Linked DNA regions of Callithrix jacchus. The protein of the gene in region 1 interacts with the protein of each later gene in a pairwise test. Links are inferred from orthologs where the notes say so. Each region holds a gene or a part of one and is shown in the gene's direction. Other genes may lie near its edges.

Evidence for each region. The genes of interacting proteins can lie anywhere in the genome.
Region 2: the proteins of FATE1 (region 1) and CD79A interact in binary tests that used the Homo sapiens proteins (3 or more experiments, as listed by UniProt). The two-hybrid records come from large-scale screens. The link is inferred for Callithrix jacchus from reciprocal best matches to the Homo sapiens genes FATE1 and CD79A.
Region 3: the proteins of FATE1 (region 1) and SYNGR1 interact in binary tests that used the Homo sapiens proteins (3 or more experiments, as listed by UniProt). The two-hybrid records come from large-scale screens. The link is inferred for Callithrix jacchus from reciprocal best matches to the Homo sapiens genes FATE1 and SYNGR1.
Region 4: the proteins of FATE1 (region 1) and TIMMDC1 interact in binary tests that used the Homo sapiens proteins (3 or more experiments, as listed by UniProt). The two-hybrid records come from large-scale screens. The link is inferred for Callithrix jacchus from reciprocal best matches to the Homo sapiens genes FATE1 and TIMMDC1.

The regions. Positions count from the first base shown.
Region 1 is NC_133524.1:148,013,317-148,017,620, forward strand, and holds the start of FATE1 (fetal and adult testis-expressed transcript protein), read left to right. Parts: upstream 1-1,463; 5' UTR 1,464-1,545; coding exon 1,546-1,654; intron 1,655-2,649; coding exon 2,650-2,777; intron 2,778-4,304. UniProt on the Homo sapiens protein: Involved in the regulation of endoplasmic reticulum (ER)-mitochondria coupling. Negatively regulates the ER-mitochondria distance and Ca(2+) transfer from ER to mitochondria possibly implicating it in the regulation of apoptosis.
Region 2 is NC_133523.1:36,904,967-36,909,183, forward strand, and holds the start of CD79A (B-cell antigen receptor complex-associated protein alpha chain), read left to right. Parts: upstream 1-1,417; 5' UTR 1,418-1,442; coding exon 1,443-1,521; intron 1,522-3,111; coding exon 3,112-3,408; intron 3,409-3,632; coding exon 3,633-3,751; intron 3,752-4,217. UniProt on the Homo sapiens protein: Required in cooperation with CD79B for initiation of the signal transduction cascade activated by binding of antigen to the B-cell antigen receptor complex (BCR) which leads to internalization of the complex, trafficking to late endosomes and antigen presentation.
Region 3 is NC_133502.1:210,152,042-210,156,249, forward strand, and holds the start of SYNGR1 (synaptogyrin-1), read left to right. Parts: upstream 1-1,408; 5' UTR 1,409-1,461; coding exon 1,462-1,560; intron 1,561-4,208. UniProt on the Homo sapiens protein: May play a role in regulated exocytosis. Modulates the localization of synaptophysin/SYP into synaptic-like microvesicles and may therefore play a role in synaptic-like microvesicle formation and/or maturation.
Region 4 is NC_133516.1:83,304,063-83,307,995, reverse strand, and holds the start of TIMMDC1 (complex I assembly factor TIMMDC1, mitochondrial), read left to right. Parts: upstream 1-1,133; 5' UTR 1,134-1,339; coding exon 1,340-1,578; intron 1,579-3,341; coding exon 3,342-3,507; intron 3,508-3,933.

The DNA.
Region 1 (4,304 bases):
AGGTGGCCCTCCAGAAAGCTCAAATTTCATTGCAGCTGCTCCACTGGAGCTGAGAAGGGCTTCTTTGGGGCCCCCAGGAATGCAGGCAGGGACTACATCAGCTCTGCTTCCCAAGAGCTCGGCCCCAGCACTGGACAGGTGAGATGGGGGCAGGGGGCAGTCAGTCTCAGACCAAGCAGCCCTATCTCAGCTAGTCCTGGCCCCTTCTTCTCTGTTTCCCTCCCTCCCTCCCTTTCTACCTATCTCCCTTCCTCCCTTCCTCCCTCCCTCTTTTCCTCCTTTCTTCCACCTCTTCCTCCCACTTGGCCCAGGGACTCTGGGGGAAGAGGAGGCTATTTGGAAAAGGAACCAGGACAGGTTTATAAAGGATTCCTTTTACAAATAGCCTCCTATTACCCCAGGGGCTCTGGGGTTGTTTCCTAAATGAAGGGTTCAGCATTGGTGGTTGTAGCAATCAGGGTTTTCAGAGAAACAGAGCTGATAGGATATATGTATGTATGTATGTATGTATGTATGTATGTATGTATGTATCTACATATGCACAAATATAGAGAAATTTATTTTAAGAAATTGGCTTATGTGACTGTGGGCCTCACAAGTCTGAAATGTACAGGACAGGCCGGCAGGCAGGAGACTCAGGCAAGAGTTGACCCTGCAGTCTTGGGGTTGAAATGCCTCTTCTCTGGAAACCTCAGTCTTTGCTCTTCAGGCCTCTCAGTTGATTGCGTGAGACCCACCCACATCATCGAGGATGAGTCTCTACTTTATTTCAAGTCCACTGGTTGTAGATGCCAATCACAGCTACAAATTGCCTCATCAGCAACACCTACACGGTGTTTGATGGAATCACCAGGGGCAAGTGCCTGGCCCAGGTGACTCATAAACCTGACCATCACAGTGGTCTAGTCAGTAGGTAAGCTGAGGGAGAATTGGAACTTAGAAGGTGCAGGGCCTGAGGCCCTTGGGGTTCTAGTGGCTGCAGTCAGGTCACACCTCTTTCACCCTTCCCTCCTTTGGTTCTCATGGCTCCTGCCTAGGCTGACCGACTTCAGAAAAAGGCTGCCTCCTGTGTTTGGGGACTCTGGATATGGGAGGTAGGATATGCTCTCCAGAGAATCCCTTTTGAAGGCATGGTATGGCCTGGATTGCTAGGACCTAACTCTGCTGTGGCCACTGTGTGGCTCTTGGACCCTGTGCCAATCCTTGCATCTGCCTAGAAATGATGATGGGATCCCCCATGAGCTAAATCTGGAGATCCATGAGCCAGAGCAGTTCTCACAGGCAAAAGCTTGGAGTTGTATCTCTTCTAAGCTGCTTACAGAGTTGCAGGGGAGAACGCCATGGACCCAACCAATTAGATACAATGGGAACAGAAGGTACTCAGTCCAAGGCCTCAGCCTAGAGAGGGAGTGTCACTCCACCCCCAGGTCCTACTATATCTTCCTTGAGCTCCTGTCCCTGGAAGAGGCGATTTTCTGAGTGTGACTCCTCTGTTTCTGGCACCCTGCACATTTTTAGCCATTGCTTACAAGTGAACAGCTGGTTATGATGGCAGGAGGCCCTATCAGCACCAGGGAGGAGGTAGAAATATCCCTGGCTGAAGAACTGAATCATGGAAGCCAAGGGCAAAACCAAGAGCACCTGGGGATAGCAGGTGAGGATCCTCTAAAATACCACTTGGCTATAGCCAACTCTGTAGATACGTGTCTATACCTGTGCATGTGTGTGTTGGAAAAGGTGCATGTGTGCAAGGAAGTGTTTGCACATGTGTGTGTTGGGGAGCTTCGAGGATTTGTGGGTTGATGATAAGGGAGGTAGGGAAAAGGGAGCATTTTTCCTACTGTCTCCCACTTGTCCAAGCCACCACCATGTCTGTTGCAAAATACTCAGAGAGCTCAAATTACAAGATCAGAGATCAATTCTCTCTCCCAATGCTCTAATTCATTTCCCTGCCCTTCAGAGGAAAGTCCAAACTCCACAGTCTATAAGATAGTATCAGCCTCCTCAAAACATTTCATGCTATGATATAGACAGAAAATATCATTTCTATAGCTCACAAAAGGGCCAAGATCACACTGCATTTATGTTTGTTATTACAATGCTGCAAGCGTGCTTATTCCCCAAAGACCTTGCATTTGCTGTTTCTTCTGTCTGGAATGTGCTTTCCCTCAATTTCCCAGGGCTGGGTCCTTTATTTCTTTCAGGTCCCTGCTTCAGTTTTTGTCTCCTACTTTTTAGAGGGAGCCCTTTCCTTCTACTATGTTACCATGTTTTGATCGTTTATGGAGCCTGTGTCTCTCTGTCTGCATTTGCGAGGATAGATTACTTTCTGCTGTACACCTGTCATTCCCCCTTATACACAAACAGATGGTCAGTTCTTTGAGAGCTGGAATCTTGTTCTTGATCATTGCTTTCTAAGTGAATAGAGAGTAACCTAGTCTCGAGCTCAGCCATCAGGAAATGCTTGATTAACTTTTGAACAAATGAACAAACTGAGGCCTGGGATCAGCTGGTGGATAGTGTTGAACGGGTGTTGAGTGATTCCCGAGAAGGCTGTGGCCTCTGCCTTCTTTTATGCTGTGTTTCGTGTCCAAAAAGCCCTGGTATAACTTCTGTGGGTGCTCCTGAGGCCTCTGTTCTTCTCTCTAGAAGTGATGGATCATAGATCTCGGTCCCTCAGTGTCCCCCAGAAGAGGCAGAAGGTGGAATCAAAAGCTGCAGGCTCTGCTGAAGCCAAACCAGTTTGGAATATGACTGCCACCCGGCCCAAGAAAATGGTACTGTATGGGGTCCTCAGCATAAGGTGGCCAGGTTGGGATTGGGAGTACTGTTTGTAGGGGCTCTTGCCTCACCAGGTCAGTCAGGGCTAGACATTGACTTGGGAGGAAGAGAAAGCTCCTGTGTTCCGAGCTGGCAAATGAGGAAAGGAAGGTCCAGTTAAAGGTCACGGTCATCCTTTCCTATACTAGAGGTTCAACCTTGGGAGTTCGGAATTCTTGAAACAAATATTGCTTAGGGAGTAAATAAATACTTTACTTTGTAAATCTATTGCGTGAAATAATGCTTTCCTGTATTTAAAATTATGTGTGTGGTACACGTGTGTGTATACACACAATAAGTCAGGTGAGGCTCCTATCCTTTCTGGCTGTTAAGAAATCCAGTCAAGTGGCCTGGCATGGTGACTCATGCCTGTAATCCCAGCACTCTGAGAGGAGGAGATGGGCAGATCACTTGAGGCCAGGAGTTCGAGACCAGTCTGGCCAGTATGGTGAAACCCCCATCTCTATTAAAAATAAAAAAATTAGCTGGGCATGGTGGCACATGCCTGTAATCCCAGCTACTCAGGAGGCTGAGGCATGAGAATCGCTTGAACTCAGGAGGCAGAGGTTGCAATGAGCCAAAATCATGCTACTGCACTCCAGCCTGGGCAACAGAGAGAGACTCTGTAAAAAGAAAGAAGGGGGTGGGGGAGAGAGAGAGAGAGAGAAGAAGCAAGGAAGAAAGGAAGAAATCCAGTGAAGTGAATCTGACAATTTTGTAGCCAATGCTTTTAAGCTACATTCAATATGGGTGAAGAAATATTCTAGAACAAATAGTGGCTATACTGCTGCAAATGATATTGAGAAAAACAGTCATTTTGGAGGGAGAGGGAATTCTGACTCTTCTGGAGAATTAGGTGAGTTCCACAGTTCTGTAGCCAATCCTTTTAGCTAGCTACATTCACTGTGGGTAAGGGAAAGTTTTAGAAAAATTGATATGCTGTTGCAAAGGCTGCTGGGAAAAGGCAACAGGATTGGAGAGGGAGGGAGGACTGACTGCTCCAGGAAATAATGTGAGTCCCACGGTTCTGTGGCCAATTCTTTAAGCTACATTCACTGTGGATGTTGAATGTTCTAGAAAGATGCTGGCCACATTGTCGCAAAGGATACTGAAAAAGGCATTTATTTTGGAGAGAAGGGAGACCTGACTGCTTTAGGGAATCACAAATCCCATCTTTCTGTAGCCAATGCTTTTCACCACATTCAGGTTGGTGAGGAAAAATTAATAAAATTTTAGAAAATGGTGGTTTTTACTGTTACCACAGAAAAGTTTGGAAGTTACTGGGAAAGGGAGGGAGACTTGATTGCTGAAATGATTTGTTGGATGGCCCCAGGGAAGATTGAGAAAAAAGGCTTCCAGGTTTAAAGATTTCCTGGGAATAAAAATAGGTCAGATGTTGATCTGGCTTCCTGTGTCCAAAGACAGAAGCCAAATCAAGCTGCCCAGGAGGTCAGGCTCCGAGACTAGGGAGAATATCACCTCTG
Region 2 (4,217 bases), on another chromosome or scaffold:
CATGTTGGCCAGGCTGGTCTCTAACTCCTGACCTCAGGTGGTTCTCCCGCCTCGACCTCCCAAAGTGCTGGGATTACAGGCATGAGCCACCGCACCCAGCCTGTTTTTCTAAAAAAAAAAAAAAAAAAAAAAAGAATTCTGCCAGGCACAGTGGCTCACGCCTGTAATCCCAGCACTTTGGGAGGCAAAGGTGGGCAGATCACAAGGTCAAAAGATCAAGACCATCCTGGCCAACATGGTGAAACCCTGTCTCTACTAAAAATACAAATATTAGCTGGGTGTGGTGGTGCGGGCCTGTAGTCCCAGCTACTCAGGAGACTGAGGCAGGAGAATCGCTTGAACCCAGGAGGCGGAGGTTTCCATAAGCAGAGATTGCACCACTGCTCTCCAGCCTGGTGACAGAGCGAGACTCGGTCTCAAAAAAAAGAATTCCAGTAATGAGCTGATCATGGGTCTAACTCCTTGAATACCGGGAACAAACACCATGTCATATCACATAATGAGACAGGGAGACATTCTGATCCCCATCTCAGAGACAAAAAATGCCAAGGCTGGAAGGATCAAACTGCCCACCTTGTCACATGTTAGCCACGGGGCAGCCTGCCTTACTGATTCTTCATGAGCATTTATAGTGACTAGCATTTACTGAGCACCTATTATGTGCCATTTCTGTGCACCCAGCAACCCCTTTAAGTCCTTGTTTCTTTTTTTTTTCTTTTTGAGATGGAGTCTTGCTCTGTTACCCAGGCTGGAGTGCAATGGCACCATCTCAGCTCACTGCAACCTCAGTCTCCCAAGTTCAAGTGATTCTCCTGCCTCAGCCTCCTGAGTAGCTAGGATTACAGGCACCCACCATGCCCAGCTAATTTTTGTGTTTTTTGGTAGAGATGGGAGTTTCACCATATTGTTCAGGCTGGTCTTGAACTCCTGACCTCGTGATCAGCCTGCCTCGACCTCCCAAAGTGCCGGGATTACAGACGTGAGCCACCGCGCCCAGCCTTAAGTCATTGTTTCTAATCCCAAGAAGCAAGGAAATGGCGTCAGGGAAGGAACAAGGTTTGCCCAAGGTCAGGCAGGGGCAGAGGTCAAGCTCAGAACCCTCACCTGCCCAGAGCACGTGACCAGGACTCAGGCTCTCTAGGCTTCCTTCCAAAGGCTCAGCAGTGATGACCCAGCCCTTGAACCAGCCTCTACCCCTACCCAGGCAGCCACCTCTCAGGGGAATTGTGGCCACCGCAGGTGCAGGGAGCACTTCCTCTCTACTCATGGCCTGAAGCATACCCGGCAGGGGCTGTCCCCAGGCCCAACGAGCAAAGGACCCAGCAGCGAGGACCACTAGAGCCCATCTCCGGGGGGCTGGGCAGGAAATAGGGTGGGGTTTGGGTAGGGAGCTGGTACCCCAGGACTGCTGCAGCTCAAACTAACGCATCGACCGGGAGAAGATGCCTGGGGGTCTCGGAGTCCTCCAAGCTCTGCCTGCCTCCATATTCCTCCTCTTCCTGCTGTCTGCTGCCTACCTGGGTATGTGGCCAATGGGCAGGAACTGGGGGGAGGAGGGGGAAGCCGTGGAGGCTGCAGAGAGGGCACAGGCAGCGGGAAGGGGGCTCAGGAGAGGGGAATAGGAGGCAGAGAGCACAGAGCCAGGGAAGACACCTGTAGAAATCGGGTCTGTTCCATGCTGGGCAAAGATGCGGCTGGAGAGAGCCCAGCGAAGGAAAATGGGGGTCCAGAGCCCCACGGAGGGAGGCAGGAGCAAGCGTCACCTCCCCCACCTCCTGTAAAAGAAGGAACTAAAGCCGCTCTTGACTGAGCACCAGGGCTGCAGGCAGGAAGGGCAGTGGGGCTAGCAGCGTTCAGTGTCTGACAAGGGGAGAAAAACCTTTCTCTGCCTTAAACCTCAGGCGCCACCCTGTGTTGGGAGCCCCTTCTCAGCACTGGGGGATCTGATGCCTCATGGACCCCCCTTGCCCACCCAAGGCCAGCGCGTGGCCATGCTACCCCAGGAGCTCAGAGGTTTCTCGGTTTCTCAGGGTAACTGGAGTTCCCACCTGAGTCCTAAGCCCATGCCAACGAGGGTGCTTGGCCCCTCTCCCTACCTCTTCTTCCTTCTCTTTTCCCCACCTCCCTCCTCCGACTGCTTCCAGAAGAAGAGGCCGGCCATGTGGGTGGCCTGGCTGAGATCTGGGGCTTCCCAGAGGAGCCCCGGATTGGACGCTGCAGTCAGCCTGAGCCACCCCGACTCAGACACCCACAACCTCCACCCTGCTGAGGGCGTTCACTCACCACCAGCCCAGCCCAAGGACTGAACTCACCCCTGACCCTGAAGTTGAAACATACAAGTTACAGAGAATGAGGGACGGGCACAGGGTCACAGGCCAGGGCAGGCCACAGATAGGCTCCTCAGCCCAGGCAGGAAGAGGCCAGGGAGCCAGGAGTTTGAACCCAGTGCCACTCCTGATTGCCTGGTGATGCTGGCAACTCGCCTGCCCTCCCTGGGCCTCAGTCATCCCTCCCGTAAAGTGGGGTTAAGGAAAGAACCTACTGCTAGGGTTCTGTGAGGATTACCAAGAAAAAGCACCAGGTGCAGAGTCTCACTGAGGCTGGGGTGGGAAAATGGACTGGGAAGGCTGTGGGAGGAGGGGATGCCTGCCTGCTTCTGGAAAGAGCTGTCTGGACGCAGCCTCCAGTTCCTAGAACAAACATCCAAAAGCCAGTGAGTTCTCAGGCCAGAGCACAAAGTGGGTATGCAGGAGGGGGGCAGGAGATGGCACTGCAGAGGTGACAAGGGCCTCCCAGGGGTCTCACTATCCCAGAGAGTCTCATTCTCCTCCCCCAGGATGTCCTCACCCACCCCAACCCCTGTGTCCTCTCTCCTTTCCCAGGGGCATCTTCACTCTCCTGCATCCGCCTCTCCCCAAGATGCATCAGCCCCTCTCAGGGGCTCTCCCTCCTCCTCCAGACCCAGGAGAGTCCTCGCCCTCCTCCCCTCCCCCCATGAGTGTCCTCACCCTCCTCCCCACCCCTCCCAGGAGTGCTGGAGCTGTAAGGGCAGGGCTGCGGGCCTGTGTCGCCATGCCCAGTCCCTGACCCACCTACCCTGCCTCTCCGCAGGCCCTGGGTGCCAGGCCCTGTGGGTGCACAAGGGCCCAACATCGTTGATGGCAAGCCTGGGGGAAGAGGCCCACCTACAGTGCCTTCACAATGGCAGTAACACCAACGTCACCTGGTGGCGTGTCCTCCACGGCAACTACACGTGGCCCCCGGTGTTCGTCGGCCTGGGCCAGGGTGTCAACGGTACGCTGACCATCCAGAACGTGAACAAGAGCCACGGAGGCATATACATGTGCCGTGTCCAGGAGGGCAACAAGCCATACCAGCAGTCCTGCGGCACCTACCTCCGCGTGCGCCGTGAGTGGCCTGGCCCTGGCCCCTACCCCCACTCTCCCGCTGGGGACACTCAGTTTATCTTTGAAGTGTGGAGGGGATATACCCAGTACCTTCTTTGTGGGTTTCAAACTGGCTCGGACGAGGGACTGACGATCTCCTCTGCAGAGTGGGGATTTCGGGGGGCCCGGGGCCTTGCAGAGGTTGGGCAGATGTGCCAGGGCTTTAAGCTTCCTACCTCCTTGCAGACCCGCCCCCCAGGCCCTTCCTGGACATGGGGGAGGGCACCAAGAACCGCATCATCACAGCCGAGGGGATTATCCTCCTGTTCTGCGCAGTGGTGCCTGGAACGCTGCTGCTGTTCAGGGTGAGTCTGCTGGGACCCCCGAGTTGGCGGGTAAGGGCCTGGGCTGAAGGACTCCCAATGCCCAGGTGGCCCTCTAGAGCCTAAAGTTCTCCATCCAAAACTTGGAAGAAGAAAGCACCCATTGCACAGGAGCTGTGGAAGTTAAATGAATGAATATAAAGAAGGGACTTGGGCCGGACATGGTGGCTCACACCTGTAATCCCAACACACTGGGAGGCCAAGGCGGAAGGATCACTTGTGGTCAGGGGTTCGAGACTAGCCTGAACAATATGGCGAAACCCCGTCTCTACTAAAAAAAATTCAAAAATAACCGGGTGTGGTGGCGGGTGCTTGTAATCCCAGCTACTCCAGAGGCTAAGGCAGGAGAATTGCTTGAACACAGGAGGCAGAGGTTGCGGTGAGCCGAGATTGTGCTATTACACTCCGGCCTGGAGGACAAGAACAATACTCTATCTCAAAAAAAAAA
Region 3 (4,208 bases), on another chromosome or scaffold:
CATCTCTACTAAAAATACAAAATTAGCCATGCGTGATGGCACGTGCCTGTAATCCCAGCTACTTGGGAGGCTGAGGCAGGAGAATTGCTTAAACGTGGGAGACAGAGGTTGCAGTGAGCCAAAATCACGCCATTTCACTCCAGCCTGAGCAACAAGAGCGAAACTCCTTCTCAAAAAAAAAAGAAGAAAAGAAAGAAATGTATGTAAAGCCCTTAGCACAAGGCCTGGTAAAGACTAAGCAATCAACTGAGCCTAAGATGGACATTTGCCCTTGTAATGTTTATCAGGGGCACCCTCAGGCCCAGCGCACATTTCCTCCGCACAGAAGTTGTGCGCTGTCATCACGGAATGGCAGGATACCAGAGAAGCAAAAGCCTCCACACATACCTCATCCAACCTGCTCCTGGAACCAGTGCAGGTAACTACAGACACAGAGAGGCTGTAGAGGTACAGGGCAGCAGGAGACCCAGCCCTGGAAGGTGGCCCTTCCACTGCAGGGAGCACTCCTCCATCCAGCCGCCTTTCCATGAAACCTGGAGCTCTAGCCCAAGCTGTGATGGGTGATGGAGACTAGGCTCTATTTAATGAGCACCTACTGTATGCCAGGCCCTTGGGTAAGGAATTGAATAAATTAGACAACACTTGGGTGCTCAGAGCTCACAGACAAGCAGAGCAAGGGCCCACAAACAAACGACTGCGTAATTAGTTGCTGGATTCAGGAAAGGGACAACGTCCTGGGGTGGGAGGTAATGGGGAAGAGGAAGTCTCAGCTGCCGCCTCTGTGCCAGGCCCCTCCAGGCTGGGGGGTGGGAGGGTGAGCAGGCACAGGGACACACATGACGTCATCGTAAGAGCGCGGGGAAAGGTAGTCCTGAGAGGTGGGGGCTGCTCTGGAGGGCTCTAAGAGAGGGTCATTCACTCGTGGTTCATTCATTCATTCGAGAAATATTCATGCGGCGTATACTGTGTACCAAGCACCCTCTAAGGAGGACGAACACGGCTTCTGCCCTCTCATTATATTTGGGGCCGTCAAAGCGACAGGAAACAGTCAAACAAATCAAGCATGAAGATGGTTTCAGCAGAGCCGATGGCTTGGAGGGGCTGCGACCGGGAAAAGGGGACCGGGGATCCCAGACAGGGGACCGGGGATGAGGGGCAGGGACACGGCCCGCACTTGCTGCACACGCACCGCCCTCCCCCTACACTTTGCAAAGAGGTCACCGCACTGGCGAAGAGCGCGCCCTCCGCCCCGGGCCGCAGCACGCGCGTCCCCGCGCCCGAGGTCGCGCGCCGCCCTGCACCCCGCCCGCGCCCCGAGAGCTGCGCCCGGCGCGCACAACGCCCCCTCGCGGGAGCCCTGGGCCGCCGGCCGCGCGCGCAGGGGAGGGGGCGGGGGCGCCGCGCACGCGCATTGGTCGGCGGCGCGCGCCGAGCGGGGGGCACCGCGCGGGTGCAGCCACGATGGAAGGGGGTGCGTACGGAGCTGGCAAAGCCGGGGGCGCCTTCGACCCCTACACCCTGGTCCGACAGCCGCACACCATCTTGCGCGTCGTGTCTTGGGTAAGGACCGGCCGGCGGCTCCGCCAGGCCGGGGTGGAGGTGTGGGCAAGGGCGACACGCCCGGACGGACCCCGACCCCACCGGGCCCCTGGCGTTGGCGCGGCAACGGGCGAGGAGCTGTCCTGCCCCTGGGGCCCGCTGCCGCCGCTCCTCCTGCGGGGGCTCCGGGCGGGTGGAGGCCCTGGCGCTCGCGGAGGGCGCCTCTGCCGCTCCCGGAGCCCTGGTTTCCTGGGGTCCCCGGTTCGTGCGCCCCACTTCCCGCCCGGATCGCTGTGACCTCCAGGCCGCGGCTGTGCAGCTAGAGGCTCGGGTTGTGTGCTGCCGCCGCGGCGGACTCTAGACCGAGGGGACGGAGCCGGGGTTTAAGGTGGCCTTTTGGGGTGGGTGGATCAGGGCGTAGACCGTCTCGCTGGGGTGCCTGCCGCGCCTGCGATGGACGTTGGAGGAGGAGAGGGCAGGGAACCGGGTTCGTGTTGCCTAGCCCGGCCTGTGTGGAGCTGAGTCGGGAGCCGGATGCCTCTCTTCCACCCAGGAACTGCCTCTCCTTCTCGGCGTGACCTTGGTCTGGGAACCACCAAGGAAATGTTCTCGAGAAATGAGGACTTCAATTCCGAGGTGGGGAGTGTCATCTCGTCTATCACGCCTCAGTTTCCCAATTTATAGACAAGGTGGGAGGAGCCTTCTTGAGGCCCCCCTTGGGCTCTGACATTTCATTAACCCGTAACACCCCTCCCACTCAGCATACACCTGGATGCCCACCGCAGGTGTCTGGGAGAAAGGTCTCCTCTGACAGTGAAGAGGCCAGGGTGTCCTCCAGCCTAGCTGGGGGGCAGGGTCCCCAGTGCAAAGGGCTGAGTGGGGCTCATGTTCATACTGGTGGGGGGGGATTGGACAGAGACAGTGAGCACAGAGGGAGGAGTTCAGGTGCCTTGAGTGGCACCCCATGGAAAGCGTGCCTGCTGGGGTCTGGAGAGGGGGTGCCCAGGGCTCCCTGGGGTTGGCTGGCTGTAACCTAGATACCCCCACCCGAGGTTCTGGCCTCTGCAGGTCTAGGGCCCATTCCTGGTGGGCTCAGACTAGAAGGGCTTGGATTGGCAATGCTGGGCAGGGCACTGTCAGGTACCCCAGGGGCTACATCCAAGGCCAGCTGCCACCTCAGCATGTTCAAGCTTCCTCCTTTCCTCGGTTTTCAAGGTCTGGTTGGTAGGATGGCTTGGGTATGTATCCCCAGCCTGCCAAGAATGACCCCATTTGAAGCCTTTTCTTCTCAAATGCTGTCAGATGGGAGCCCTTTGTGGGCAGGAAAGCCCAATTCCTGACACCACCTTCCCCAGTGCCTGCACAGAGCCTGGCACCCCAGCACATCTGTAAGTGTTTGTGGCTCTGAATTCATTTATCTGTCCCAGTCTCCTGCTCCCCAGATGCCCTGACAGGCTCTTGACAAAGGTGGGAGCCCTGGGGGGCACCTGCCAGATCAGGTGGGCAAGGTGTGTTCACTGCTCCTGCCCACCCCTGGGGCTCTGGTCTGGAAGGGCGAAGCCACTGGCTTTGTGAGGGGGCGTGGGCATTCTGTCTGCTTGGGTCATTTCTGCCAGTGATGGTTTCATTTAGTTTATTGACTCTTTTGGGCTCTAAGGGAAGGCAGCATGACTCAGAAGCAGGCCTTGTTCTCAGGGAGCCCACAGTCCCCCTGGGGAGTAAGCCAGGTGCCACTAGGCAGAAGCCACAAGAGCCAGGAGAGGCGTCTCCCTGCTGTGGAATCAAGCTCCATTGAGAAGGTGGTGTCAGATTGGGGCTGGTGGGATGAGGGTTTACACATGTGCACATCCAGGGGCGAGGATGGGAAAGAGGAGGATCAGCCCCTCTGAGCACCCATGGGGTGCAGGACCACACACAGCCACCCAGCTGGCTCCCCAACACTAGAGGAAACTGAGGTTCAGGGAGGCCAAGTGCCTGGCCCAAGGTCACTGAGCATGTAAGTGGCAGAAGAGCATTTGAGCCCAGGCCTTCCTGTCTCCAAAGCATAGTGCTCCCCCCGGGGGCAGGGAAGAGTCTGGAATCGTGGAATGTCAGGATTGGAAAGGACACAAAGGTCACCTGGGCCAACCAATGTTCAGTCAACTGCACGGCCTCCAGCCCCGCTCACACAGGTGGATACGAGGTGCTCACTACCTTTGCTGGACCAAGAGGTGTCTGATACAGGCTGATTAACACCTTCAAAAACAGCTTTTTTTTTTTTTTTCCCCTGATCAAAGTAATACCTGCCAGTCATTGGAAAGTATAAAAATCACGTGTGGTGGTCACGCAGTAGGAACCGACTTACCACCACCGAAATGGTGAAGATGGTAAATTTGATGCGACGTGTATTTTACCACAACAGAAAAAGTTTGGTGGGGAGTGGTGATCATGTGATACCACCGCATGATAGGGAGGGCTGCAGTGAACACGGGGCTGTGTCTCCTTCTGGTCTTTTCAAAACTGTGTGGCGTGCTGAGCCGTTTTAACACATCAGGAGCTGCGGGGGATGCAGCTGGTGCCTGCTCTTGGCCCTCACACCGCAGGGCAGAGCGAGTGAAGCCTGAGCTCCAGGGCTGGGGTGACCCATTTATCCTGGTGTGCCGGAATTGCCTGTCTTTAGCATCCCGAGA
Region 4 (3,933 bases), on another chromosome or scaffold:
GATCTGAATTATTCATTCGACAAATACTTACTGAGCACCTACTACGGTTCTAGGTCCTGGAGGTACAGAGATGAATATATTTGGTATCTGACCTCAAGGATAGTTTATTGAGACAGATTAACAAATAGGAAATTATGATGCAGTATAGTAAGTGCTACGATGGGTGCTGAATCAAATCTTGTCTCCCAGAGTAGTTTTCATGGAGCTGTCACTAATTCAGCTGGTCATTCTAGTCAGTCACTTCTTGGGGACTTATGTGTAGAATTTCCAGCTATCAAACTCCGTAAGTCTACTTACTGTACACTACCACACTACTACTACTACTACAGTGTGGCAATTATGATTTACAACTAGAAAGGAATAAAGGAGGTGACGGGATTGCCAGTGAGTAAGGGAGTATGCTTCTTAACAAGGATTAAATGAAATTACACAAATATTGAGAATATTTAAGATGCATTCATTTTAATGAAAACTATACTTCGAAGCATATGTTTGCAGAGGTAGTGACAGGAAATTATTGCTGGACTATCAAATACTTGATAGAAATTCCAGAAATTTTCCTGCCTTTTGAGAAGCAGTACACACATATGAACTAAAGGGAGTGAAATCTACCTTATGAAGACCTGCCAAAAAACTGATTCTTCAAAAAAGTGTTCTCGAAATCTTGGTGTAACTGGCACCAAGACCCATTTCCAATGGCTCGTTTTTTTAGGAAAGAAAACCGACAAGGTACAAACGGACCCCGCCCAGTGTGGAAGGCTTCTCGAATGTCGGCAGAGTAGGTTGGACTTGTTTTTGCACAAATCGCCTTTCCCTCTTTCTGTACCCCACTTGCACTTGAATATTGCACTTTCTTCCTCATTTAAGCGGGATTCCTGGCATTTTAAATACGATAAATTACTTTAACCTGTTACCACCTCGAGCTGAACGTAACCAGCCGCAGACTCCGTTTGTATGACCCAGGAGCCACTGAGACACGGAGCAAAGACCTGGCCGGATCACACTGAGCTTCACCTCCAGCAGCCAACTCACTTCCGGGGGTGGACTCAGCACAGCAGGGGCACTACCCGCCCTCAACCGGAAGTGTTTTGGGCTCCGGTTTTGCCGTCGCCGTGCCCTCTGACCTTTGCCCCGGTCGGGCGGGACTTCCTCTCTCATGTTTACAAGGACTCCGAAGTCAGGCCCGGGACTGAAGTCGTGTGTGTCGAGTTGTCCGGCCCAGGGTTAGCCTTGTCCAAATGCACGGGTTCTCACCTTGTACTGTACGCTCTCCCACGGCAAGTCCGGGAGGACTTGAAGTCCTGAGCGCCCACGTGTGACTGTAGGTCGAGAGAAGGCCATGGACGTGCCGCCACCGTGTCTGTCTGTAGGTCGAGAGAAGGCCATGGAGGTGCCGCCACCGGCATCGCGGAGCTTCCTCTGTAGAGCATTGGGTCCTTTCCCCCGAGTCTTTGCTGCCGAACCTGTGACTGCTGATTCGGAGGCCCTTGAGGAGCGTCAGTGGCCGCCTGCCTTCGTCCCAGAGCCCCATTACCCGGAATCCGGCTGGGACCGCCTCCGGGAGCTGTTTCTCAAAGAGTAAAAGTGCCTAGGGCCTGAGGTGGGGTGGGGGACCGCGAAAGCGATGTCCTTAAGCCTTGGCAGCCTGTGTCAGCCTTAGGACGCCAAGGATAGTGTGTTTCATTTTAAAATTATATTTGGGGTTCTGATCATTGTAACCCAAGCTTATGTCTTTTTTTTTTTCTTTTTTTTTTTTAGACAGGGTCTTGCTCTGTCGCCCAGGTTGGAGTGCTGTGGTGCGATCTCTGCTCACTGCAACCTTTGCCTCTCAGACTCGAGTGAACCTCCCACCCCAACCTCCAGAGTAACCAGGACTACTGGCGTGGGCCACCACGCCCGGCTAACTTTTTAAAATATATTTTTTGTAGACAGGGTTCGTGCCTTGTAGGCCAGACTGGTTTTGAACTCTTGGGCTTAGGTAATCCTCCAGCCTTGGCCTCCCAAAGTGCTGGGATTACAGGCGTCAGCCACCGAGTCGGCCCAAACTTGTACCTTTTTTATTTTTGATTTTTTTGAGATCAAGTCTCTATCACCCAGACTGGAGTGCAGTGGCTCGATCTCAGCTCACTGCAGCCTCCATCTCCGGGTTCAAGCGATTCTCCTGCCTCAGCCTCCCTAGTAGCTGGGATTGCAGGTGCCCACCACCACGCCCTGCTAAGTTTTGTATTTTTAGTAGAGACAGGCTTCACCACATTCGCCACGCTGGACTCGAACTCCTGACCTCAAATAATCTACCTGCTTCCACCTCCCGAAGTGCTGGGATTACAGGCGTGAGCCATCGCAGCTGGACTGCGTCCGGCCTAGAAGGGCAATTATTTTATAGTAACTTAATACTTCAGACAGCTATTTGTTAGATCAGTTTCAGGATGACATCTTGGAAGCTCCATTAGCAGTTCTAGCTTCTTATGCATTTGACAGTAATAAATTGAATTAAATTGTAGCTTTTCCTTGTTACTTTAGATTGGCATGTGCCACCCACTGCATAGTGAACTTTTCCTGTGCGTCTTTTAAAAAGCATTTGTTTATATTTTTAGAGCCAGGATCTTTGCTGTGTTGCTATGCTGGACCTGAACTCTTGGGCTCAAGTCCTGCATAAGCCTCCTAAGTAGTTGTGACTACAGGCATGTGACACTGTGCCCAGCCCAATGCTTTTATTAATATACCCCATCAGAATATTTCATGAAATTATTTAGTAATATAGAGTTTAGATTTTTTGCCTTACATCCACGTTTTTATTCTTTCATACATTGCCCTAAAATGTCACCAGTTGGTGTGATTTCTAAAAGTTAGCTTAAAATTTAAACAGGGAAATATTGGTCTCTCTATCCAACTCACAAATTTTTCCCGTTTATTGGGGTAATATATAGGTGTAATAGTCATCAAATAAAAACACCTTTAAAAAAACTTTTTATTGGAGTAGGAAATGCATTTGAAAAAATGTTTATAAGTATACTGATGAATGAATTTTCACAAAGCGAACATAGCTATACCCAGCACTCAGGAAGAAATGGCAACTGTTATAACATCCCAAAAGCTCCCCTTGTGCCTTTTCCAGTCATTGTCTTTTCAGGAGTTGCCACTATCCTAATTCTAACAGCATAGCTTAGTTTTGCCTGAGACTTATGTTCCTTTTACTATAACTCAACTGTTTCATTCATCTGTGGATTCTGCCTATGATGAAAAATGCAGTGTTAGCATTTGGGATAATTCTGATTATAGAGTTTTTGGAGAGCAATGTCCATAAATTAATTCCAAACAACATTGTCTTTTTGATGTTGTAGTGAACAGCAGAAACTTTCAAAAGAACTTGCTGATATCTGTAAGGCGGCATTGACAGCAGGCGTCTTTGGCATGGTGTATGGAGGAGTACCAGGTTTTGTTAATGCTAAACAACGATACATTGAGCAGAGCCAGGCAGAACTTTATCATAACCGGTTTGATGCTGTGGTATGTATTGGTGGACTAAAGGAATTTGGAGCACACTGACTTAGCAATTTACTTTACACTTAATGGTTCAGTTAGGTTGTGGGGATGGAGGGTTGTTTTAAGATGTCAGAGTAAATAAAGTCTATACTTAGTAACAGTGGAAGTACTAATGCTAAAGTGCCTGCATGTGGATTGAGAGACTACTTTCTTATCTTCAGAAAAGGCATGTTTGGCCTCATCACTGTGGCTTTTCTTTCTGAAATACATTTCTTCCAATCCCCTGCTAAATCATCAAGGCTCGACTGTAACATGTTTACCTCATTCATAAAGCCTCCATGAGTATAAGAGCTCACAATAAAGCAATATTTAACATTTATAACTTGACAGATTATGGAGTGCTAACTTATTTGTTACATCATTAGATCTGTACATCAGTTCTTCTGTGAC